4 linked regions of the Arabidopsis thaliana genome follow. The protein of the gene in region 1 interacts with the protein of each later gene in a pairwise test. Each region holds a gene or a part of one and is shown in the gene's direction. Other genes may lie near its edges.

What was found.
Region 2: the proteins of SUT2 (region 1) and CNBT1 interact in a protein complementation assay, tested with the Arabidopsis thaliana proteins (one large-scale study listed by BioGRID).
Region 3: the proteins of SUT2 (region 1) and AT4G04760 interact in a protein complementation assay, tested with the Arabidopsis thaliana proteins (one large-scale study listed by BioGRID).
Region 4: the proteins of SUT2 (region 1) and ABCG16 interact in a protein complementation assay, tested with the Arabidopsis thaliana proteins (one large-scale study listed by BioGRID).

What each region holds. Positions count from the first base shown.
Region 1 is NC_003071.7:827,769-834,325, reverse strand, and holds SUT2 (sucrose transporter 2), read left to right. Parts: upstream 1-1,706; 5' UTR 1,707-2,029; coding exon 2,030-2,296; intron 2,297-2,804; coding exon 2,805-2,870; intron 2,871-3,017; coding exon 3,018-3,116; intron 3,117-3,217; coding exon 3,218-3,282; intron 3,283-3,375; coding exon 3,376-3,460; intron 3,461-3,552; coding exon 3,553-3,586; intron 3,587-3,695; coding exon 3,696-3,795; intron 3,796-3,900; coding exon 3,901-3,976; intron 3,977-4,259; coding exon 4,260-4,598; intron 4,599-4,726; coding exon 4,727-4,870; intron 4,871-4,967; coding exon 4,968-5,201; intron 5,202-5,292; coding exon 5,293-5,356; intron 5,357-5,452; coding exon 5,453-5,496; intron 5,497-5,612; coding exon 5,613-5,780; 3' UTR 5,781-6,047; downstream 6,048-6,557. UniProt on the Arabidopsis thaliana protein: Responsible for the transport of sucrose into the cell, with the concomitant uptake of protons (symport system). Can also transport maltose at a lesser rate. May also transport biotin.
Region 2 is NC_003074.8:6,047,108-6,053,193, forward strand, and holds CNBT1 (cyclic nucleotide-binding transporter 1), read left to right. Parts: upstream 1-1,706; 5' UTR 1,707-1,966; coding exon 1,967-2,461; intron 2,462-2,554; coding exon 2,555-2,746; intron 2,747-2,841; coding exon 2,842-2,940; intron 2,941-3,026; coding exon 3,027-3,164; intron 3,165-3,244; coding exon 3,245-3,493; intron 3,494-3,597; coding exon 3,598-3,840; intron 3,841-3,968; coding exon 3,969-4,114; intron 4,115-4,214; coding exon 4,215-4,292; intron 4,293-4,419; coding exon 4,420-4,549; intron 4,550-4,702; coding exon 4,703-4,949; coding exon of another isoform or gene 4,950-4,987; exon of another isoform or gene 4,988-5,064; coding exon 5,065-5,342; 3' UTR 5,343-5,568; downstream 5,569-6,086. Other genes in the region: CNGC19 (cyclic nucleotide gated channel 19), read left to right, coding at 8-153, 227-304, 384-513, 624-864, 955-1,232. UniProt on the Arabidopsis thaliana protein: Probable cyclic nucleotide-gated ion channel.
Region 3 is NC_003075.7:2,422,561-2,428,287, forward strand, and holds AT4G04760 (Major facilitator superfamily protein), read left to right. Parts: upstream 1-1,603; coding exon 1,604-1,747; intron 1,748-1,831; coding exon 1,832-1,894; intron 1,895-1,991; coding exon 1,992-2,081; intron 2,082-2,199; coding exon 2,200-2,259; intron 2,260-2,384; coding exon 2,385-2,450; intron 2,451-2,653; coding exon 2,654-2,719; intron 2,720-2,796; coding exon 2,797-2,872; intron 2,873-2,971; coding exon 2,972-3,036; intron 3,037-3,121; coding exon 3,122-3,214; intron 3,215-3,490; coding exon 3,491-3,580; intron 3,581-3,677; coding exon 3,678-3,762; intron 3,763-3,860; coding exon 3,861-3,904; intron 3,905-3,999; coding exon 4,000-4,062; intron 4,063-4,159; coding exon 4,160-4,219; coding exon of another isoform or gene 4,220-4,224; intron 4,225-4,312; coding exon 4,313-4,366; intron 4,367-4,545; coding exon 4,546-4,605; intron 4,606-4,847; coding exon 4,848-4,962; intron 4,963-5,066; coding exon 5,067-5,209; downstream 5,210-5,727. Other genes in the region: AT4G04750 (Major facilitator superfamily protein), read left to right, coding at 1-64; ABCI8 (ATP binding cassette protein 1), read right to left, coding at 5,438-5,656. UniProt on the Arabidopsis thaliana protein: Sugar transporter.
Region 4 is NC_003074.8:20,415,680-20,420,925, reverse strand, and holds ABCG16 (ABC-2 type transporter family protein), read left to right. Parts: upstream 1-2,015; 5' UTR 2,016-2,373; coding exon 2,374-4,584; 3' UTR 4,585-4,743; downstream 4,744-5,246. Other genes in the region: ABCG17 (ABC-2 type transporter family protein), read left to right, coding at 1-574; AT3G55080 (SET domain-containing protein), read left to right, coding at 5,096-5,212.

The sequences.
Region 1 (6,557 bases):
AAACTTATTACTGTTTTTCAATCAACTTATTAACCTTGATCTTTTTTATAACAAAATAAAAATAAAAATTGGCACATGATCAAATCATCAATCTCAAATAAGATAAAACCAAAGGTGTAATAAGGTTCATTTTTTTGTGGAGAAACCGAGTCAATGCTACCAAATTGCCTATATAGGCTTGAATTTTATGTAAATGCTTTTTTGAATGGAATAATCCGATTTTTTATTTTATTTTTTCTTATGTAAAATTATAACATGGTATAGATAAAAAATTTGTTTTGTAATAAGTGATATTTGGTCTAACGGCGCGTATGTATAGTTCTTTTACAAAAGTGAGTAATAGTGGTTTTCTGGTTCAAATACTATTGAGAATGGTATCAGTTTTGATGGACAACAAGTGTATGAGACTCGGCTATAACTTCTCAATTAACCATTAACCATTAAAGAATACAAAATTTGGATTTTCGACTATACTTTGGTTCGGATACATCATACATGCATGCACACCATAACAACTAAACTCAAAAGGATTTGTTTTTGAACTTTTGATGATAAGAAAAAGAAAAAAAAGATGGGACATAAGAGTCATGTACACGTGGATAAGGAAAGGAGAAGAGAGGGACAAGGGAAGAGATGGAGAAAGAGAGACGTAAGTATTAATTCAATTGTGTGCCCTATTAGCTTTCATTTTCCACAAGCAAGAATAATATTAATAATTATGTATCATCTTTGCATTTTTGTACCAATACATGATACATTTGTTAGGCACACGTCTTTTTCCTTTTTCCTCCTTTTTATTTCTAACTTTCTTCCTTTTATTCGTTTAATCCGGCTCTATCACGTTAACACACATATATGTTATATCATCTTTTTACAAACATGTTTACATTAGTTATTAGAAAATACATATACTTGTAATAGTGACATTGGTAAGAAGAACTCTATCACCTTCACAATCACACACATATATGTTATATAATCTTTTTACAAACATGTTTACATTAGTTATTAGAAAATACATATACTTGTAAATAGTGACATTGGTAAGAAGAAAAAAACACTATTAAATAGTGAAAAAATGTTTATAACTCTCTTAATTAACATTACTTATTATTGCTAGCACCTAAAATCTCCCACAAAATATTTGTTGTAAAACACAAATTTACAAAATGATTTTGTTTTTAAATTAGTAACACATGTTCATATATACGTTAATAAGAACATACCCTATATGATTTTATATAAAAAAATTTCTTTGAGACGTCTTATCCTTTTTTCTTTAATAATATGCAATTGTGAGAGTTTGGATTTGAATGGTAGCATTAGAAGCAAACTTGAACCAAACATATTTCATGAAGTCAAACTTGAACCAATGTAATCACTAATCACAGTGTTCGCAGTGTAAGGCATCAGAAAATAGAAGAAGGGACATAGCTATGAATCATATAATCTTGACACATGTTTTATAGGTTTTAGGTGTGTATGCTAACAAAAAATGAGACAGCTTTCTTCTAATAGACTTAATATTTGGGCTAAATGTACCACAGTTGTGAATTTCTTACAAAAATGGGCCGAGCTACAAAAAACTACAGGCCCACTCTCAACTCTTATCAAACGACACCGTTTTACTTTTTTAAAAGCACACACTTTTTGTTTGGTGTCGGTGACGGTGAGTTTCGTCCGCTCTTCCTTTAAATTGAAGCAACGGTTTTGATCCGATCAAATCCAACGGTGCTGATTACACAAAGCCCGAGACGAAAACGTTGACTATTAAGTTAGGTTTTAATCTCATCCGTTAATCTACAAATCAACGGTTCCCTGTAAAACGAATCTTCCTTCCTTCTTCACTTCCGCGTCTTCTCTCTCAATCACCTCAAAAAAATCGATTTCATCAAAATATTCACCCGCCCGAATTTGACTCTCCGATCATCGTCTCCGAATCTAGATCGACGAGATCAAAACCCTAGAAATCTAAATCGGAATGAGAAATTGATTTTGATACGAATTAGGGATCTGTGTGTTGAGGACGATGAGTGACTCGGTGTCGATCTCGGTTCCGTATAGGAATTTGAGGAAGGAAATTGAACTTGAGACGGTCACCAAGCATCGTCAAAACGAATCTGGTTCTTCGTCGTTCTCTGAATCTGCTTCTCCTTCGAATCATTCTGATTCGGCTGATGGTGAATCTGTGTCGAAGAATTGTAGTTTAGTGACGTTGGTTCTTAGTTGTACAGTTGCCGCTGGAGTTCAATTTGGTTGGGCATTGCAACTTTCTCTTCTTACTCCTTATATTCAGGTACTTACTATTACTCTTGTCATTGTTACCATTTCTATCACTTGTGGCTTTCTCTATAGCAATTTAGATTCGAGGGTTTTGTTCTTGTGTAGCTTTGTACGAGAAAGTCGAGTACTTTGTAGGTGAATCAATGAATTCTAATACTTAGGTTAGGTAGTTGTTGTCACCAACATAGCCATGAGATATTTTCGTATGGAACTCTATAGCATTGGCTTATCGAAGAGTATATGACATTGGAATTTAGCTAGATTGTTTATGTTCATTGGATTACATAAGCATTTGTAAAAATATAAAAGACCTTAGCCTTTTTCGGAACTATTGTATAATCAGAGATTAGACTGTGTTTAGAATAGTATTGTACTGGTCATATATGTATCAGGTGGGTAGTTATGGTGGTAGATAGAACTATTGTTAAATATCTGTTTGCTGGAAGTATTTTGATTTTCTTGTTGCTGAAGAACCCTTTTGAGTTTTATCTAACAGTGTTGCATTTGGTTGGTTGATGCAGACCCTTGGAATATCGCATGCTTTTTCTTCGTTTATTTGGCTGTGCGGCCCAATTACAGGCCTTGTGGTAGGTTAAAAGTTTCTTTAAGAATTTTAGCAGTTTTACTATCTTGCACGTAATGATCTCACGAGAGTTCAAGTTTTGATTTATATTGGATCAGAAACTATTTTTCTGCCCCATTTTGTTCATACTTATTTGTTTGTTGGGTTTTAGGTCCAGCCTTTTGTTGGCATTTGGAGTGATAAATGTACTTCAAAGTATGGAAGAAGACGACCATTTATTCTAGTTGGATCATTCATGATCTCAATAGCAGTAAGTGCCAATAGAAGATATGATTTCTGTTTTGATTTTCTTTTAGGAGATAGCTGGCTACATTGTGTTTTATATAAGCTAAACAAAAGCTTGCAATTTAGGTGATAATAATCGGATTTTCTGCAGACATTGGGTATCTGTTAGGAGATTCAAAGGAACATTGCAGGTAACTCTCCTGCTCCCCTGCCAATGGCATGTTTTTTATGGAATGTATCAAAATTAAAGTAACTGACGACTTGATGTGTATCTTGAAATGCAGTACTTTCAAAGGCACACGAACCAGGGCAGCTGTTGTCTTTATCATTGGGTTTTGGTTGTTGGATCTAGCAAACAATACAGTACAGGTTCAGATCTGCCTCTGCAATGTACTTGAGTGAATGGTACTAGTCATTACCTCTGTATCCAGGAATGATGTTTTCGGCTTTTTTATTTTCAGGGACCTGCTCGTGCTCTTCTAGCTGATCTATCAGGTAATAATGGAATATAACCATACACTTAACAGAACAGAATTTCTATTCAAACTCTAGAATCAGATTGAATATGCTGTGCTTCTAATGAGATGTCTCTTGCTGTCCCTAGGTCCTGATCAGCGGAATACTGCAAATGCTGTGTTCTGCTTGTGGATGGCTATTGGGAACATCCTTGGGTTTTCTGCCGGTGCTAGCGGAAAATGGCAAGAGTAATCTTTGAGATCCTTATTCTCAAAATCTTGTATTCTTTTTCCTCATTTGCAATTTTGCATTTTCCGCCAGCTGTTAAATGATCAGGCAATTTTACTGCGCAGATGGTTCCCTTTTTTAACTAGTAGAGCATGTTGTGCTGCATGTGGAAATCTCAAAGCAGCGTTTCTTCTTGCAGTGGTAAGCAGTATGTTTAATTTTCTGACACATGCATCTTACTAAGCTTTCTAAATTGCAATGGAATGGGCTGGTCTTTACGAAACACTCTCACGTTTGTACATTGTGACTTGTGATTCATATATGTCGCAAATCAATGCGTTCTGTTTGTATGTCTATATTATTTTTGAGGTGATTTTGAAAGTGAAATTATATTATTGCACCCAGTGGCTTTTGTTCTTGTTTCATAGTCTAAAATCTGAATATATTGTTCTATATGTTTTAAGAGTTTAAATCATTTTTTCAGGTCTTTCTCACTATATGTACTCTTGTCACAATCTATTTTGCTAAAGAGATTCCTTTTACAAGCAACAAGCCCACCCGCATACAAGATTCTGCACCTTTGTTGGATGATCTCCAGTCCAAAGGCCTTGAGCATTCAAAATTAAATAATGGTACTGCCAATGGAATCAAGTATGAGAGAGTGGAACGTGATACGGATGAACAGTTTGGCAATTCAGAGAATGAGCATCAAGATGAGACCTACGTTGATGGCCCTGGATCTGTTTTAGTGAATTTGCTAACTAGTTTAAGGCATTTGCCACCGGCTATGCACTCAGTTCTTATCGTCATGGCTCTTACATGGGTGAGTGCCAAAGAAAAATTATGATCAGTTATTACATATTTCACACTGTTTCTTTTCTTAAACTCTTTAATGATCTTTAAAATTATTTGCTTCTGTTATATTTTTGATTGTGGTCTTGTTCTTTGCAGTTATCCTGGTTCCCCTTCTTTCTGTTCGATACAGATTGGATGGGAAGAGAAGTTTACCATGGGGATCCAACAGGAGATAGTTTGCATATGGAACTCTATGATCAAGGTGTACGTGAAGGTGCACTTGGTTTGCTACTAAACTCTGTAAGAATCGTTATAATAACCTGTTTTTTAACTGCACTGCTCTTCAAAATTCAATTACTCGCCCGTTATTGAATATTCTTCTTCCCTGTTTCCGTAGGTTGTTCTTGGGATCAGCTCATTTCTCATTGAACCAATGTGTCAGCGGATGGGTGCTCGGGTTGTATGGGCTTTGAGCAATTTTACTGTATTTGCCTGCATGGCGGGAACAGCTGTAATCAGCTTGATGTCTCTCAGTGATGACAAAAATGGAATTGAATACATAATGCGTGGAAACGAAACAACAAGAACCGCAGCCGTAATCGTTTTTGCACTCCTTGGTTTTCCCCTAGCTGTATGTGCTTTCTTTCAACCGTAATTCTCTTTATTCTTTTCGTGTTGCAACATTTCTCTAAAATATGTGATAAAACCATTCTTTAATGCAGATCACATACAGTGTCCCTTTCTCTGTCACAGCAGAAGTCACTGCTGATTCCGGTGGCGGTCAAGGTCTGTGAAAAGATTCATATCTTCACTATATTCATAGTTTTTGTACTTAAATCTTAGATTTCAGTAATCCCTAATGGTTTCATTTCCTCACTCCAGGTTTGGCTATAGGAGTGTTGAATCTCGCAATCGTTATTCCCCAGGCAATCTCTCAAATCTAATTACACTGATAAATTTCATTCTCTTGTATAATGCCACTCACTTCGAGTGTAGTCTTGACCCGTAAATAGTGTCTGAATATGGTTTTGGCTCTAAACAGATGATAGTATCACTTGGAGCGGGTCCATGGGATCAATTGTTTGGAGGAGGAAACTTACCGGCGTTTGTTTTGGCGTCTGTTGCTGCTTTCGCTGCTGGAGTTATTGCATTGCAAAGGCTTCCCACGCTATCGAGTTCTTTCAAGTCCACCGGTTTCCACATCGGCTAAAATCTTTATACCACAGACATAAAATTCACAGTTAGATCTACCCGATTCTTTTTGACCACGTTCTCCTCTCGGCGTATATGTAAGTAGGTTTTGTACATCTAGTTTTCTTATATGTTATACACAGCAATGTGACTCTAAATTTACAGTACCTCTCTTCTCACGTAGAATATATCTTCGTTATTTTGAATCACTTTATATTTGTGTGTTCCTTTCCTCACAAATAGAAACTTGAAGCAACATATTCCAAACTCAATAGTCCAATCTAATAACACAATACTGTTGGTTCTTTAACCTATGATGTGTACGTTTTCCCAACATTACCATACTAATATAACAAAGCATTTCAATAAGAACACAAATTCAAACCTATTTTCGCCTATAAACTATGTACTAAAATCATAACCAAACTATATCTCCAATAGAAACAATGTGTCCATAAATAATAAATGCTCATATATCGTGGGTTGTTGATGACATAGTCTTTGTCCACAAGTTCCTTATTTAGTTGATATAAGCATTTTCAAAACAAAGAAACAAAATTCAACTTAGTGTAACAATGTCAAAACCAAACTCTTATCTTCAATAATGAGACAAAAGAAACCGAAGTTAAGTCTATAATCAATTTCTACATAGACAATGTGGCCAAAAATAATAAATGAACATATATCATGGGTTGTTGAGACACCCAATTTAATAAAATAAAAACATTGAATGTCTTATTTTCTTCTTCTTTAAAAACCCTTTGTACATTTACTCTTCAATTCATCCTCATTTACT
Region 2 (6,086 bases), on another chromosome or scaffold:
CTGAAAGCAAATAAGCACACTTGCTGGAAACTTATCCCCAAGTTACTCAGTGGGTGAGGTTTTCTTTACAATGGGTATCATTGGACTAGGGCTTTTGCTTTTTGCGCGGCTTATCGGTAACATGCACAACTTCCTTCAATCACTTGATCGAAGGTAAATCACATTTCATCAACAATGTTCTGAAAAGGGATGGTGAATTTCTTGGCTAATGCATGTTCTGTTTTAGGAGGATGGAAATGATGCTGAGAAAGCGTGATGTGGAGCAGTGGATGAGCCATAGACGTTTGCCAGAAGATATAAGAAAGTCTGTGCACTGTGGCATTTGATTTTCTCAGGCTGTGTAATGTGATATTCATAACTAATCAACTGTTCAACTTTTTCAGGAGGGTGAGAGAGGTTGAGCGGTACACTTGGGCTGCGACAAGAGGAGTTAACGAAGAATTGCTATTTGAGAACATGCCTGATGACCTTCAAAGAGATATAAGAAGACACCTCTTCAAATTTCTCAAGAAGGTAATAAGCAACAGCCTCATGACAGCATTAGTCAGTATTCATTTTGTGTACTCAGACTCCACAGTGTTGCAAAAAGCTAGTTCTGAATCCAAGTGTTAATGAGTTTGCAGGTGAGAATATTTTCGTTGATGGATGAATCAGTTTTAGATTCAATCAGAGAGAGGCTGAAACAGAGGACTTACATAAGGAGTAGCACGGTGTTGCATCACAGAGGTCTAGTAGAGAAAATGGTATTCATAGTGAGAGGTGAGATGGAGAGCATTGGAGAAGACGGTTCTGTTCTTCCTTTATCAGAAGGAGACGTTTGTGGTGAAGAACTTCTCACTTGGTGCCTCTCTTCTATAAACCCCGGTACTAATAACATTTGAGTGTTCATAACTCTTAATGTTTTTTGGTTAGAAACTTGGAACTTTGGAGCTGAATACGTTTTGAAACTTGCAGATGGGACGAGGATAAAGATGCCACCAAAGGGATTGGTTAGCAACAGAAATGTTAGGTGTGTGACAAACGTGGAGGCGTTTTCGCTGAGTGTAGCAGATCTTGAAGATGTAACAAGCTTGTTTTCAAGATTCTTAAGAAGCCATCGAGTGCAAGGAGCTATAAGGTACGAGTCTCCTTATTGGAGGTTACGAGCAGCTATGCAGATCCAAGTGGCTTGGAGATACCGAAAGAGACAACTCCAGAGATTAAACACTGCTCACTCCAATTCCAACCGTTAAATTTGATGATGATGTTTGGTTTGGTAGATTAGTAATTTTATTTTGAAGTATAAAGCTTAGTGATTCACTATAAAAGATGAATCGATGATTCATTCGTTGTAATCAATTCACTCATTAGTGTTTCTTAAGTATCTTTTTGCTGTTTTTCCAATCATACGGTATAATTTTACTTCAGGTCACTCGGCTTGAGTAACTTGGGCTCATAATTTCGGCCCATTCTAATTGATCTTAAATTAATAATTAATCAAGCCTGGATAATGAATGATTTTTGCCTTTTCGGTACTTCTTTACTGTAAGAAGTTAATTAAGACAAAGAAACGGAAACAGCCATGTAGTTAATGACATTTTGCCTCCAATAATTAGGGCCAATTAATTAGTTACAGTTGGTAATCAAATAAAGGAATTTTCGAATTCGTGAATATTCAAAAGGAAATAAATGTTAAAAACACAGAGGAGAGAGAAGCCTCACGGACACGAAATAATAAACAATGTAATAAAAGTCAGTGTTTGACTTTTCCAGACATGAGTTTTATTTACAATAATACACTTCCTTGACCTGGGCTACGAAGAAGAAGACCCCTGACTTGGTCATCATCTCCTTTCTTATTTCTTCTTCTTCTTATCAAAATTACTAAAACTCTCTGCTTCAACTTCCTTCTCCGCCTCAAATTTTCCCTTTATGCCTAGATTCTAGCCTTCTAGGGTCTTCTTGAAACCGTGATTTTGGTCAAGAAATGGCTTCCCACAACGAAAACGATGATATTCCCATGCTTCCGATTTCAGACCCATCATCTCGTACTAGAGCCAGAGCTTTCACTTCCAGGAGTCGTAGCGTTTCTCTCTCAAACCCTACTTCCTCCATTGAAGGATTTGACACTTCCACTGTGGTTTTAGGCTACACGGGTCCTCTTCGAACTCAGAGACGTCCTCCTTTAGTTCAAATGAGTGGTCCTCTTACCTCTACTCGCAAGCATGAACCTCTCTTTCTTCCTCATCCTTCTTCTGATTCCGTTGGTGTCTCTTCTCAGCCTGAGAGGTATCCTTCTTTTGCTGCTCTTGAACATAAAAACTCCTCAGAGGATGAGTTCGTTTTGAAACACGCAAATCTCTTGAGGTCTGGACAATTGGGAATGTGTAATGATCCTTACTGTACTACTTGCCCTTCTTACTACAACCGTAAGGCTGCTCAAATCCCTACTTCTAGAGTTTCTGCCCTTTTTGATTCCACGGTAAAGTTTTGATTTTTGTTACTTTACATTCACAAATATAGCTTCAGGATCAAGTAAATGTCGTTGAAACAGAGTCTTTTGTTTTCTTGCTAGTTCCATAACGCTCTGTATGATGATGCTAAAGGTTGGGCAAGGAGATTTGCTTCCTCTGTTAATAGATACTTACCTGGAATCATGAATCCTCATGCCAAAGAGGTTCAAACCTGGACTAAATTCTTCGCCCTTTCATGCTTGTTAGCTATTTTTATAGATCCCCTCTTCTTCTTCCTCATAAAAGTCCAAGAGGTATGTTTTTCCTTCAGAGATATCTTTTGCTTTTCCAAGTGTTTTTATCTTGCCTTTACACCACCTTTTTGACCATCTTTATTTTCTCACTGTAGCAAAACAAATGTATTATGATTGATTGGCCGATGACTAAAGCATTTGTAGCTGTAAGAAGTGTAACAGATGTTATATTCACTATGAACATTCTACTTCAGGTGCTTTTCTTTTGCTTACATTTTTCCATCTCTTTATAAACAAAATATGTTGGCTTTAGTGCTCACGTTTGCCATATTGGTTGCAGTTCCGATTGGCCTATGTAGCTCGTGAGTCTACGGTAGTTGGAGCTGGCCAGTTAGTTAGTCATCCCAAAAAAATTGCCCTTCATTACCTCAAAGGAAAGTTTTTCCTTGACTTGTTCATAGTGATGCCACTTCCACAGGTATTGTTACGTTAGAGCTCCTACTGGTTTTAAGTAATGGTAATCAGAAGATGTTCATTTATGTTTTCTTTTGTTTACAGATATTGATACTATGGATAATACCAGCACATTTGGGTGCATCCGGGGCAAACTATGCGAAAAACCTTCTACGAGCTGCAGTTCTTTTCCAATACATTCCAAAGTTATATAGACTTCTACCGTTTCTTGCTGGACAAACACCTACCGGATTCATATTTGAGTCAGCTTGGGCTAATTTTGTTATTAATCTTCTCACTTTCATGCTTGCTGGACATGTTGTTGGTTCTTGCTGGTATCTATTTGGTCTGCAGGTATGACAAACTCTCAAAATGTCTTTCATTTTTATCTTGTCCTGATCAGCAGAAGATGCATAAAGTGATTTATATTGTTTCCCGTTTTCTGTTGGTTCTTTCAGAGAGTTAATCAGTGCCTTCGAAATGCTTGCGGTAATTTTGGGCGTGAATGTCAAGATCTTATAGATTGTGGTAATGGAAATAGCAGTGTATTAGTACGAGCTACCTGGAAAGATAATGCGAGTGCCAATGCTTGTTTCCAAGAAGATGGTTTTCCTTATGGAATCTATTTAAAAGCAGTCAATCTTACCAATCATTCTAATCTCTTCACAAGATACAGTTACTCTCTCTTCTGGGGCTTCCAGGTAACTGTTTTTTTTTTTCTCTCTTTCAGTTTTTTAGTAGGAAACTAAGAACAACTACTCAACTACTTTGCATTGATTGGCATACTTGGAACTCTTCATTAAGATCATTAATTTTATAATTCTCATAGCAAATCAGCACTCTTGCTGGCAACCAAGTCCCAAGCTACTTTCTAGGGGAGGTCTTCTTTACTATGGGTATCATTGGACTAGGGCTTTTACTTTTTGCGCTTCTTATTGGTAATATGCAAAATTTCCTTCAAGCTCTTGGTAAAAGGTAAACAATTCCATCATTGTACTAAAATAGATATTTCAAGACATAATGGTTGGTTCTATAAACACTAACTACTCAGGTGATTGTGTTTTGTCCATATTAGGAATTTGGAAATGACGCTGAGACGGCGTGATGTGGAGCAATGGATGAGCCATAGACGGTTGCCAGATGGTATAAGAAGGTATGTGGACTTTGCCTATAAAACTTTGTTTTATCCTTTGAATATTCTTTTTCTTAAAGAGTTACATTGGTCTCAGTTTCAGTAGTTTCACTATTAAACTAACTGAATAATGGTTCGACATTATCAGGAGGGTGCGAGAGGCTGAGCGGTTTAACTGGGCTGCTACTAGAGGCGTTAACGAAGAATTGCTTTTTGAGAATATGCCTGATGATCTTCAAAGAGATATAAGACGACACCTCTTCAAATTTCTCAAGAAGGTAAACATATGTGAAACTTCTGTATGCATAGATCCCAATTCCATATAGTGTTGCAAAGAGCTAGTTCTAGAAGCTGTAACTGCAAGTAATAGTTAGAGACCACAGATTAAACCATTGCTGAGAAATAGTATTGAAATTTGAATGGGTTTGCAGGTGAGAATATTTTCGTTGATGGATGAACCAATCTTAGATGCAATCCGTGAGAGGCTGAAACAGAGGACATACATAGGGAGTAGCACAGTGTTGCACCGTGGAGGACTAGTTGAGAAAATGGTATTCATAGTGAGAGGTGAGATGGAGAGCATTGGAGAAGATGGTTCTGTTCTTCCATTATATGAAGGCGATGTTTGTGGTGAAGAACTCCTCACTTGGTGCCTCGAACGCTCTTCTGTAAACCCCGGTACCATCCCTTTTGACTCTATCTCTATGTGTTCATAAATCCCAAAAAGTTTGGTTCCTTAGATGACACTTCGTTAAGAAAAAGCTTGGAACTGAGTATGTTCTGAAACCTTCAGATGGGACGAGGATAAGGATGCCATCAAAGGGATTGCTTAGTAGCAGAAATGTAAGGTGTGTGACAAATGTGGAGGCGTTTTCGCTGAGTGTAGCCGATCTGGAAGACGTAACGAGCTTGTTTTCGAGATTCTTGAGGAGTCATAGAGTCCAAGGAGCCATAAGGTACGACTCTCCATATTGGAGGCTACGAGCGGCTAGGCAGATTCAAGTGGCGTGGAGATACCGTAGGAGACGGCTTCATAGATTATGCACTCCTCAGTCTAGTTATAGCCTTTAGTTTGTATTCTTCATTCTTGATGATACGCTTAAAACAAAAATAGGGTTCCAAAGCTCAAGACTGCTCATAGGCTCATAGCAATGCTCAAAAGTCAAAACCTCACATTCTCCAACACGAGGCAACAACAAAATTTAGATCGAAGTTAAAATCCAAGTATTCGGTGTGCTCGGTAAATTTTAATGATAAATGAAAAAAACATAACAATATATTATATTATAATTCATTATAAACAAAATTATAAGATAATCTATATTATTAATTAGGAAGCATTGTATGAACTACAACATTGTAAGGGTAGTTTAAAACTAACTAAATGAATTTTTGCATGGGTAATTTAGTAAATTAACAACTACTACAACTAAACAAATATCTTGGATTTTGTTTTTAAAAAAAACGAATTAAATCACTAAATTAATAACTACCCAATATTTTCGGAAATCATTTAAAAACGTTTTCATAACATATTAGGTTATTTTAATTCAAATTGTATATATGTAAACTTATTTCTTTTGGTAATATGTTATTAGATAATTTGGAAACTTCAATCTAATTTAATAACAAATTATCATTTACTTTAGATTTTATACAATTTCCTTAACAAAACTATGTTAATTGTTTCTGATTATTACAAATAAAAATAATTTTAAATTATGATTTAGCATATTCAAAAGAGAATTTTTGGATTTTAGATTTGTAATTATCTAAAAAATAGTTTCAGTATACATTAAAATATTTAACATTTTA
Region 3 (5,727 bases), on another chromosome or scaffold:
ATCTTTAGAAGAAATTCAATCTGCTTTTACTGATTCTACTTCTGAAGATTCTACAATTTTCTAAGAGATAAAATAAAATTACCTTCAAACTTTAATTTCAGATCTCTTTATATTTCATGGGGTTTGTCTTTCTTTTTTCCATCGTATTTTTACGATTGGGTCATTGGCCTATAAATATTTATTAAATTGGTCCCTGAAAGGGATCTACAGTTCAACTGAAAAGCTTGGTTAAGGCATATATTATGATATATATCATGTTTATATGTTTTCGACGCAACAACAATATACAACCTGATAACCATAAAATTACAAAATCTTAATAGCATCTCTAATGATTGTCTCTATTTTTTCATTTAAATATAGAGAAAAAAGTTAAAAAAAAATTATTTTTACACTAATAGTTTTTGAAAAATAGAGATCTCTATTTGTTACAAAATTTTTTTTAGAAAAAGTAGAGATATCTATTTTTGAGATAAAAATAAATATGAATTACAGTGAAATAAAAACAAAATTAAAATATAAAAATAAAAATAGAGATGAGTTGGAGATACTCTAATTATAAAAAAAAAACAAATAGAATTGATGGAAAATGAGATCTTATGACGTGAAATGCTTGTTTACACATGTCTACAGCTTTTACGTAAGCGCATTTACTTGCATTTAAGATTGAAAAATATTTGAGAACCTTATATTCACCTCCTTTATTTTAGCCAATTAAAATCTGAAACCTAATAATAATAAAAAGAATTTTATTTAATTATAAAATCTAAGTTGCCACTAAAATGAAATTATGTATCGGTTTGGATTTATTAGAAAAAGTCAAGGTTTAAATTTTATGATTAAACGAGGTTAAATATCGGTTTGAGTTTGGAAAGTGCGATTAGAGTTTAGATTTGATGATTAAACGGGTTAAATATTAGTTTAAATTTATAAACAGATTTAGATTTTATAATTAAACGAGGTTAAATGTCAGTTTGGGTTTAGAAAATACGATTAGGATTTAGTTTTTTACGATTAAATAAGTTTTTAAATGGCGATTTAGGTTTACAAAGGAGAATTAGGGTTTAGATTTTGTAATTAAACGAAATTATATATTAGCTTGGATTTATAATTATAGGTTTAATTTATTATGTAATTTAAATAAGATTTAACATTGCATGTTTTTATTGGTTAATACAAAAGGAGCTGAATAAATGGGTGAACTCAAGTTTAATTCTTTAAGATTTCACATGTTTTAAATGAGTGAAAATCCAGACCAACAAATAAAAATATAGATGATTCGATTTTCAGAAGTTGGTAACAAACTTGCACGATCTAAGTGAATCCAAAACAATAGATAAAATATGGTTTTTAATAAAAACAATTAAAATAAAATATAATTATAGTTATAATTTAATTACCTATGTTAATTTTTTATATGTTTTCTTAGAACTAATATTATATGTCCACGAGAAAGAAACAAAAGCAAACACAATTTGTGTTTAGTTTTCAGTTCCGCTATTTTTGCAGTTTTTGCTCCACGAGACCAACAATCTTCCAAACTCGAAAAGGTTTGAGCATTTTCCTGAAGCAAATTTGATTCATAATCACAGATTTCTGAAAAATGGCAGAAGAAGGTTTATTATTACCAGCTTCTTCTACTTCTTCTTCTTCTTCACTTTTGTCTGAAATATCAAATGCATGCACGAGACCTTTTGTTCTTGCTTTCATTGTCGGTTCTTGCGGCGCCTTTGCCTTTGGATGCATTGTGAGTTTCCTAATGCGTTCTTGCATGTTTAATTTTTTATTAAACCTAATTAAAATGTTACTATTTGATTCTTTATGTTCACAGATTGGATATTCGGCTCCGACACAAACAAGTATCATGAAAGACTTGAATCTCTCCATAGCTGATGCAAGTTCAATCACTTTTTTATTTTTTTGTTGCTCTTACGGTTTATTCCGGTTTATTTCTGGTTCGATATGATCTTGGTTTTCTTTTCTTTGCTCAGTATTCACTATTTGGATCGATATTGACGGTGGGGTTAATCCTTGGAGCATTAATCTGTGGGAAGTTAACAGATTTAGTTGGTCGTGTCAAAGTAAGTTTCTTCTACTTAAGAATGATTAGTGTTTAAAACTTTCTTATAACGAATTGGATATGATTATACAATTATGGTTATTAATCATCTTTATGTGATTATTCTCTTTCTAACTAAGACTATATGGATCACAAACATCCTCTTTGTAATCGGATGGTTCGCTATTGCATTTGCCAAGGTTTGTTTCTTTCTGAGTTCTTTCTATAATGGTTTAGATTGTACTGTTTTTAAGTCGATATATTATTATAGTTCCTCAACTGTATCTTATTACTATTTTTGTTCTTTGACTTTTTGGTTACAAAGGGTGTTTGGCTGCTTGATCTCGGAAGGTTACTACAAGGGATCTCGATCGGAATTAGCGTATATTTGGTATGAGTGAATACTAAAACTAGAAGGGTTTGGTATTTTTTCTTATTTATGGTGTGACTTTTTGATTTAGAGGTAGCTAGTTGGTAATGTAGTTATGTAGCATTGAAACTTATTTGATATCTTGTAACTTGTAAGTTTTATGTTCAGATATATTTAGTTCTCTTTTGTAACAAATCTTATGATCTGATAATTATTAATTACAGGGACCAGTTTACATCACCGAGATAGCACCAAGAAACTTGCGAGGAGCTGCTTCTTCCTTCGCGCAGGTAAAACTCAAGAGAACCAAAAGCTTGGAAACTATTATAAGCATTTTCCTTCACTACAAGTTTTGAATGTTTTACAGTTATTCGCCGGTGTTGGTATATCGGTCTTTTATGCACTTGGAACCATCGTTGCCTGGCGCAATTTAGCCATTTTGGGTATGTTAAAAAAGACCGATTCTTATCGATTTGCAAAAATCGAAAACTTCTCATTTCTCGAAGTACAAGAAAATGTACTAATGGTTTTTCTTTGAACAGGATGTATACCTTCTCTAATGGTTCTGCCTCTTCTTTTCTTCATCCCCGAATCTCCTAGATGGCTAGTAAGCATTTGGTTATAACAAAAAACTTTTGGTCGAATATCTTAAAATCGTAAATCAAATAAACCAAGATGAAATTTGTTGGTAGGCTAAAGTAGGAAGAGAAATGGAAGTTGAAGCAGTTTTGTTAAGCCTGCGAGGAGAAAAATCTGATGTATCAGATGAAGCAGCAGAGATATTAGTAAGGACCTTCTAATCTACTGGGTTTCGGTTTGGCATCGAGTCCAGTATAATAAACCAAATATAAACCATGAAATTTGAATTTATGGGGACCAAAGATTCGAACCTCCAATTGAGGGTGAAACTGGACTTTAACTTCTATTTTTTGTGGACTAGGATTGCGATCCGAATTCTGTATAGTTATGGTGTTATATAAAACTTATTAGGGGAGACAGGTCGTTCATCCTTTTTGATTTTTTTTATAACATAAATTTCTAAACAATTTGATGATTATCAGGAATATACAGAACATGTTAAACAACAACAAGACATCGATGACCGCGGTTTCTTCAAGCTATTTCAGCGAAAATATGCATTCTCACTTACTGTAAGTAACTATTCAAAAAGGTTAAAAAAACTTCAAAATCTAGCATTATTTTGTTTGCATTTGCTTGATTTATATATTTCATTTGGTTTATATACAGATTGGAGTTGTTCTTATAGCTTTGCCTCAGCTTGGAGGTCTTAACGGTTATTCTTTTTACACTGACTCCATTTTCATCTCTACCGGTATATAATCCTTCTTCTTCTTGTTTCTCTTTATTTGATCTAACATAATGATATGATTACTTCATCAAATGGTCCTTAAATACTATCCGATGATCCAGGTGTATCGAGTGACTTTGGATTCATATCTACATCAGTTGTTCAGGTTATAGTTATACTAATACAATACCATAGAGCATGGTTAGACAAAACTCTTTCCGTATAATATTCTATACACTTTTTGACCAATCATTTTTGTAGATGTTTGGAGGCATTTTAGGTACTGTGCTTGTTGATGTATCTGGAAGACGTACACTCCTATTGGTAAAACAAAATTTAAAACTCGTATCCGAAATCGATATGTTAATTTTGTTAGGTTTTCGAACAAAGTTTAGGAATATATTTTGAGTGATCATTGTAGGTTTCTCAAGCTGGAATGTTCTTGGGTTGTCTTACCACAGCCATTTCATTCTTCTTGAAGGCATGGTTACTATTCCATCTACTCTACTAAACCGGAAATTAATTTTGGTTTGTTATACCGGACCTTAAAATTACCGGTTATTTCGTTCTACAGGAGAATCATTGCTGGGAAACAGGAACTCCTGTCTTGGCTCTCTTTAGTGTTATGGTAATTAATAAGGGTTTTAGGATTTAGAATTTAAAATGTTTTTTAGATATAAAGTTTTAGACTATTTAAATTTGAAAATCTAAAATAATTTTCTGATTTTAATTTTCTAATTTAGTGTTGAATTTTCATAATTTTCCCGTAACAACTGTATTTTGATTTTTGATTATTTATTTTATTAGGTGTATTTTGGATCATACGGTTCTGGTATGGGATCAATACCATGGATCATAGCATCAGAGGTAAATAAATATTTAAAAAAAGTTTAAAAATATATCGCAGACATTTAAATTATGTTACACTCATTATAACAATTATGTATCGCATACATCTAGATTTTTAAATCATTAGTTCAATAACACTGAATTTCATTAGAGTTTTTAAAATCCGTGATTGAATAACATCGGATTTGTAAATTTTACACAAATAACTTAAAATACTAGATTGAATACATCCCTCTTAATGTTTTTATTTTCTTTTCAAGATTTATCCAGTAGATGTTAAGGGAGCAGCGGGAACAATGTGTAACTTGGTCAGCTCTATAAGCGCATGGCTTGTTGCTTATTCCTTCAGTTACTTGCTTCAATGGAGCTCCACAGGTAAAAATCTTTAATACAATTGAACTAAAGTTGACAAAAAGTTGATTTGGTTACAATTTCTGAATTTTGAAAAGAGAGTTGTTAACTAAAAGTCTTTGTTGCAGGAACATTTCTGATGTTTGCCACAGTGGCTGGCCTTGGATTTGTGTTCATAGCCAAGCTTGTTCCAGAGACCAAAGGCAAATCTCTAGAAGAGATTCAATCTCTTTTCACTGATTCTCCTCCTCAAGATTCTACAATTTTCTAAACTTCTCCCACAACTGTATAAGATAGAAGTATGTAAACAAAAAAAGTTTATTGCAATATAGTTTTTACGTGATTCACAAATATTAACAAACACCTTTCACAAGATTCACATGAAACTACCAAAACATTACAAAATAATACAAAGTTTTACTCAGAAGAAAAGCTTTATTGAGAAGAAGCACAAAGACCACCCCTTTTTTTTTGCTGTTCTGTAATTATGAGTTTTGTTTTAACCCACTGATCCTTCAAGCTTGATGCTCATAAGCTGGTTAACTTCAGCTCCAAACTCATCAGGTAACTTGTTGAAAACATCTCTGCAGAAACCAGAGATCATTGCCGCTAATGCTCTCTCGTGATCGATTCCTCTCTGCTGGAAATAGAATAGCTGATCTTCTCCAATCTTAGAGGTACTCGCTTCGTGCTCTACTTTCGCCGATGGATTCTTTACCTGTTATTGTTCCAGACCAACCACAAAACAAAAGTGGAAATCAATCACAAAAGAGCAAAAAACTTTACAGC
Region 4 (5,246 bases), on another chromosome or scaffold:
CACGTTCTGGTTCGTTGGTCTAAACGGTGGTCTGGCAGGTTTTATCTACTATCTTATGATCATCTTCGCGTCCTTCTGGTCAGGATGCTCGTTTGTTACATTTGTCTCCGGTGTGATTCCAAACGTGATGATGAGTTACATGGTCACCTTTGGCTATCTCTCATACTGCCTCCTCTTCAGCGGATTCTACGTCAACCGTGATCGAATCCATCTTTATTGGATATGGATTCATTACATTTCTCTGCTAAAGTATCCCTACGAAGCTGTTCTGCACAACGAATTCGATGATCCCTCCCGTTGTTTCGTGAGAGGAAACCAAGTGTTTGATAATACAATAATGGAAGGAGTATCTGAAACGACAAAGGCTAAGCTTCTGGAGACAATGAGCGGTTACTTGGGGATGGAGTTAACGGAATCAACGTGTTTGACGACGGGCTCTGATTTGCTTAAGCAGCATGGAATTGAGCAGCTGGATAAATGGGGTTGCTTGTGGGTAACGTTAGCTTGGGGATTCTTCTTTAGGATCTTGTTTTATTTTTCGTTGTTGCTTGGAAGCAAGAATAAGAGGGCGTGAACGCCATAATGTAAATTTTTCCGAAACAGAAATTTTATTGTGAAAGCAAAATTGTCTTTTTGAATTTGAGATATTGATGATATATGTTGTATAATTATTATTTTTTTCTTTCATAGCTATCATATATTGTCTAAAGAAAGAATCGTACATCTAACATTTTACATGATGTTAGGTTCACAATTTTATAAAGGACTAAGATTTTAGTTTAATTCACAATTGGTAATGTTTTTAACTTAACAATATGAACTACATCAATAGTTTAAAGTTCAAACTAATATAAAGATACCACAAGCTACCAGTGAAGTAATTTAGTAGTTTTAATGTGCGTGTGAGCTATATGCCATCTTTCGTGGTCGGTGTAAACATAACGTATTTGACAAAATTCAAATTGCATCACTTTTTAAAAACAAAAGTATATACAACTAAACAGTTGGTCGAAAATAGAATTCAAAGTAGCCAACTTTCTTATAAGCTTTATTAGATGGTATTATAAATCTTTGACCCTTTTCTTATGGCGGTAAGGAAGACTACAGTAGGTAGAAGTTAGTCACCTAAACTTCAAAATGTCAACCAAAAAGATGTAACAGTGAAGTCAAAGTTTAGGATTGGAAATCCAAGAAGCTAAGCCAGTACGTCAATTTTGCTTTCATGTTACCATTGTGTCCATCACTAGAAGTTTGACCAAGTACTACTTAAGAGGAAGTTGCCTAACCTTTTGATCTGTTTCTTCTTTCCCTGGATGGATCAAAGACATCACTATTTTTACTTTCTTAACAAATAGTATTTGAAATGTGACACCATCTTTATGATTCTCGTGTAATTTTCGCATGCATGTTTAATTTTAGCAACAAACTTGACGATTTTTATTATATTTCTCTTAAACCACCACTCCACCCTTTACAAAACAAAAAGAATGTTTTATCAGCTTCTGTATACTGTGAATAAAACAGAGGAAACAAAGACCAAACACAATATTTGAGTTTGGTAAAGAATGTTCCACCGTTACCAACTAAATAATCAAGAAATAGAAAAAATGAACTTGGAGATTGTGTGTAGTCTTTCATAGCAAAAACAGGAGTTTATATTCCCAAACTAAATACAAATCTAGCTACTTTATCAAATATAACTTTTATATTATATTTGGTAGAATTAGTTGGGGTTCCGGAATTATTGCAATTTGCAACTTTTAGGCAGTTAGCAGCATAAGCAATCGTCTTCGGTCGCGAAAACAAAAGAAAATGTGAATAGTTTATCTAGGTACACATTTGCTTGCGATACAAACAATCACTATATCGCTACCAACATTCGAAGAATCTTTTAAAAACATTAATTAATTGACCAAACACTATGTGAAACGCAAGAAATATCTCATCTCAATCCTATATACTATCTATACCTCGGTTAGATCAACACCCTTCACCTAATTCTCCATTCTAATCGCCACGTGTCAGCCATTTCTACGTATTTTAGTATTATCACCTTGGAAAATCTAGATTTATTGGTCATCCCATTACCTCTCCCTAATTGAATACGAGAAATCCAAAACGCATTTTCCATCCAAACGCTAAGAATATTATTGTTAACAACACAAACCTAACAGATTTCTCATGATGATGCAACTCATTCAACACATAGAACCTTCGTGTTCACACGCTTCCACACGTTACTTCATATATATAAGGCCTATACACAGATACTAGCAAAACAGAGAACAAAGACTAACATTTTGATCATGCAAAGAGTGTTTTGATTTTCAAGTGTAAGCACATCATTTCTCACTTTACCATCTTTTGTTCTAAATGTCTCGCATACTAGTAGAAGATGATAATGCAACACCGTTTCATTCCATGGAGATTATTAGCTCATCTTTGACTTTAGGCCAACTTCTCAAGAACGTTAGCGACGTTCGTAAGGTTGAAGTTGGTGACGAAACTCCTGTTCATGAATTCTTTGACAGGGATGGTTCTTCACTTGACGGAGATAATGATCATCTTATGCGTCCTGTTCCTTTCGTTCTATCTTTCAACAACCTTACTTACAACGTCTCTGTTCGCCGGAAACTTGACTTTCACGACCTGGTTCCATGGAGGAGGACATCTTTCTCCAAGACCAAGACTCTTCTAGACAATATCTCCGGTGAGACTCGTGACGGAGAGATTCTTGCCGTTCTTGGAGCTAGCGGGTCAGGTAAATCCACTTTGATCGACGCTTTAGCGAATCGGATCGCTAAAGGAAGCTTGAAGGGCACGGTAACGCTTAACGGAGAAGCTCTTCAATCTCGGATGCTGAAAGTTATCTCAGCTTATGTAATGCAAGACGATCTTCTCTTCCCGATGCTTACTGTGGAAGAAACCTTAATGTTTGCAGCTGAGTTTCGATTACCAAGAAGCTTACCTAAATCCAAGAAGAAGCTTCGAGTTCAAGCCCTAATCGACCAGTTAGGGATAAGAAACGCTGCTAAAACAATCATTGGAGACGAAGGACACCGTGGAATCTCCGGTGGAGAAAGAAGGCGAGTTTCGATCGGAATCGATATCATCCACGACCCGATTGTTCTCTTCCTCGACGAACCTACTTCTGGTTTAGATTCCACAAGTGCTTTCATGGTGGTTAAAGTATTGAAGAGAATCGCAGAGAGTGGCAGTATCATTATAATGTCAATACATCAGCCAAGTCACAGAGTTCTCAGTTTACTTGATCGTCTTATCTTCTTGTCACGTGGACACACCGTCTTTAGTGGTTCTCCGGCGAGTCTACCGAGCTTTTTCGCCGGGTTCGGTAATCCGATACCGGAAAACGAGAATCAAACGGAGTTTGCACTCGATCTAATCAGAGAACTCGAAGGATCAGCTGGAGGAACAAGAGGATTAGTTGAATTCAACAAGAAATGGCAAGAGATGAAGAAACAGAGCAATCCTCAAACCCTAACTCCGCCGGCTTCTCCAAACCCAAATTTAACCTTGAAAGAAGCGATTTCCGCCAGCATAAGCAGAGGAAAACTAGTCTCCGGTGGCGGCGGTGGTTCCTCCGTCATAAACCACGGTGGCGGAACCTTAGCCGTCCCTGCATTCGCGAATCCGTTCTGGATCGAAATCAAAACTCTCACCAGACGCTCAATCCTCAACTCCCGACGACAACCGGAGCTACTCGGAATGCGATTAGCCACCGTAATCGTCACCGGATTCATCTTAGCCACCGTATTCTGGCGATTGGATAATTCACCAAAAGGAGTTCAAGAGCGGTTAGGGTTCTTCGCATTCGCAATGTCAACAATGTTCTACACTTGCGCCGATGCTCTTCCCGTGTTCCTCCAGGAACGTTACATCTTCATGAGAGAAACAGCTTACAACGCTTACCGGAGATCCTCCTACGTTCTCTCTCACGCCATTGTTACCTTCCCTTCGCTCATCTTCCTCTCTTTAGCTTTCGCAGTGACGACGTTTTGGGCTGTTGGGCTTGAAGGAGGCCTAATGGGCTTTTTATTCTACTGCTTAATCATCTTAGCCTCTTTCTGGTCCGGAAGCTCCTTCGTGACTTTCTTATCCGGCGTCGTTCCACATGTGATGTTAGGCTACACGATCGTTGTTGCTATTTTAGCTTACTTCTTGCTTTTCAGTGGCTTCTTCATCAACAGAGATCGAATCCCTCAGTATTGGATTTGGTTTCATTATCTTTCTCTGGTTAAGTATCCATACGAGGCGGTTCTTCAGAACGAGTTCTCGGATCCTACAGAATGTTTTGTGAGAGGTGTTCAGCTTTTCGACAACTCGCCTTTGGGAGAATTGACGTATGGGATGAAGCTGAGGCTTTTGGATTCTGTGAGCCGGTCGATAGGTATGAGGATATCGAGCTCTACGTGTTTAACGACGGGTGCTGATGTTCTGAAGCAGCAAGGAGTGACACAGCTTAGTAAATGGAACTGCTTGCTTATCACGGTAGGTTTCGGATTCCTATTTAGGATTTTGTTTTACTTGTGTTTGTTGCTTGGGAGCAAAAACAAGAGGAGGTGAAACTGAAACTACTGATGATACCTAAAACCAAAAACATATATTGTAATTCTTTTTCATTACTTGTAATTCGTAGATTGATTGTGTATTTGAATTGTATTCTTTTTAACATTTGTATTACTTTTGCCATCAATAAAAAAAATATCATTCTTTAGGAAATTGGAAATACAAAAAGCACCTATGAATCGCTTTTACTCAGAAAATTAATGCAACATTTCAAATAGAGGCATTGAGATTGTGGAAGAAAAATGAGGAGACACAGACACTGTTGCTAGAGGCAAGTAACTCTCAAAGCCATTTCACTTTGTAAGGTATCAAAAAGTCAAAATTGGAAGGCTATCTACAAAATCAATTAAAAACAAACCGATTTATCTGAAATTTAAAACCGAAACAAACCGGACCGAATCAGCATCAGAATATCGTCTGGTCCTGGCCGCTCTGCTCTAGCCGCAGTCGAAACACGAGTCCATAATACGAGCGGTGGTTGCTCACGCGCCATCCAGTTTGGCTGGAGATGCTATTCTGCATTTCGACAGTGAAGCTTTTCGGGTTTCAACAAAGGCGCAATGTTAGCTCTTTAGCCAAGCGTTTCAGTCTCGCCGGGAAACTAACGTTAGAGCTCCAAACTCAGGTTTGATTTGTGAAAGATTGAGACTTTCGTGAAA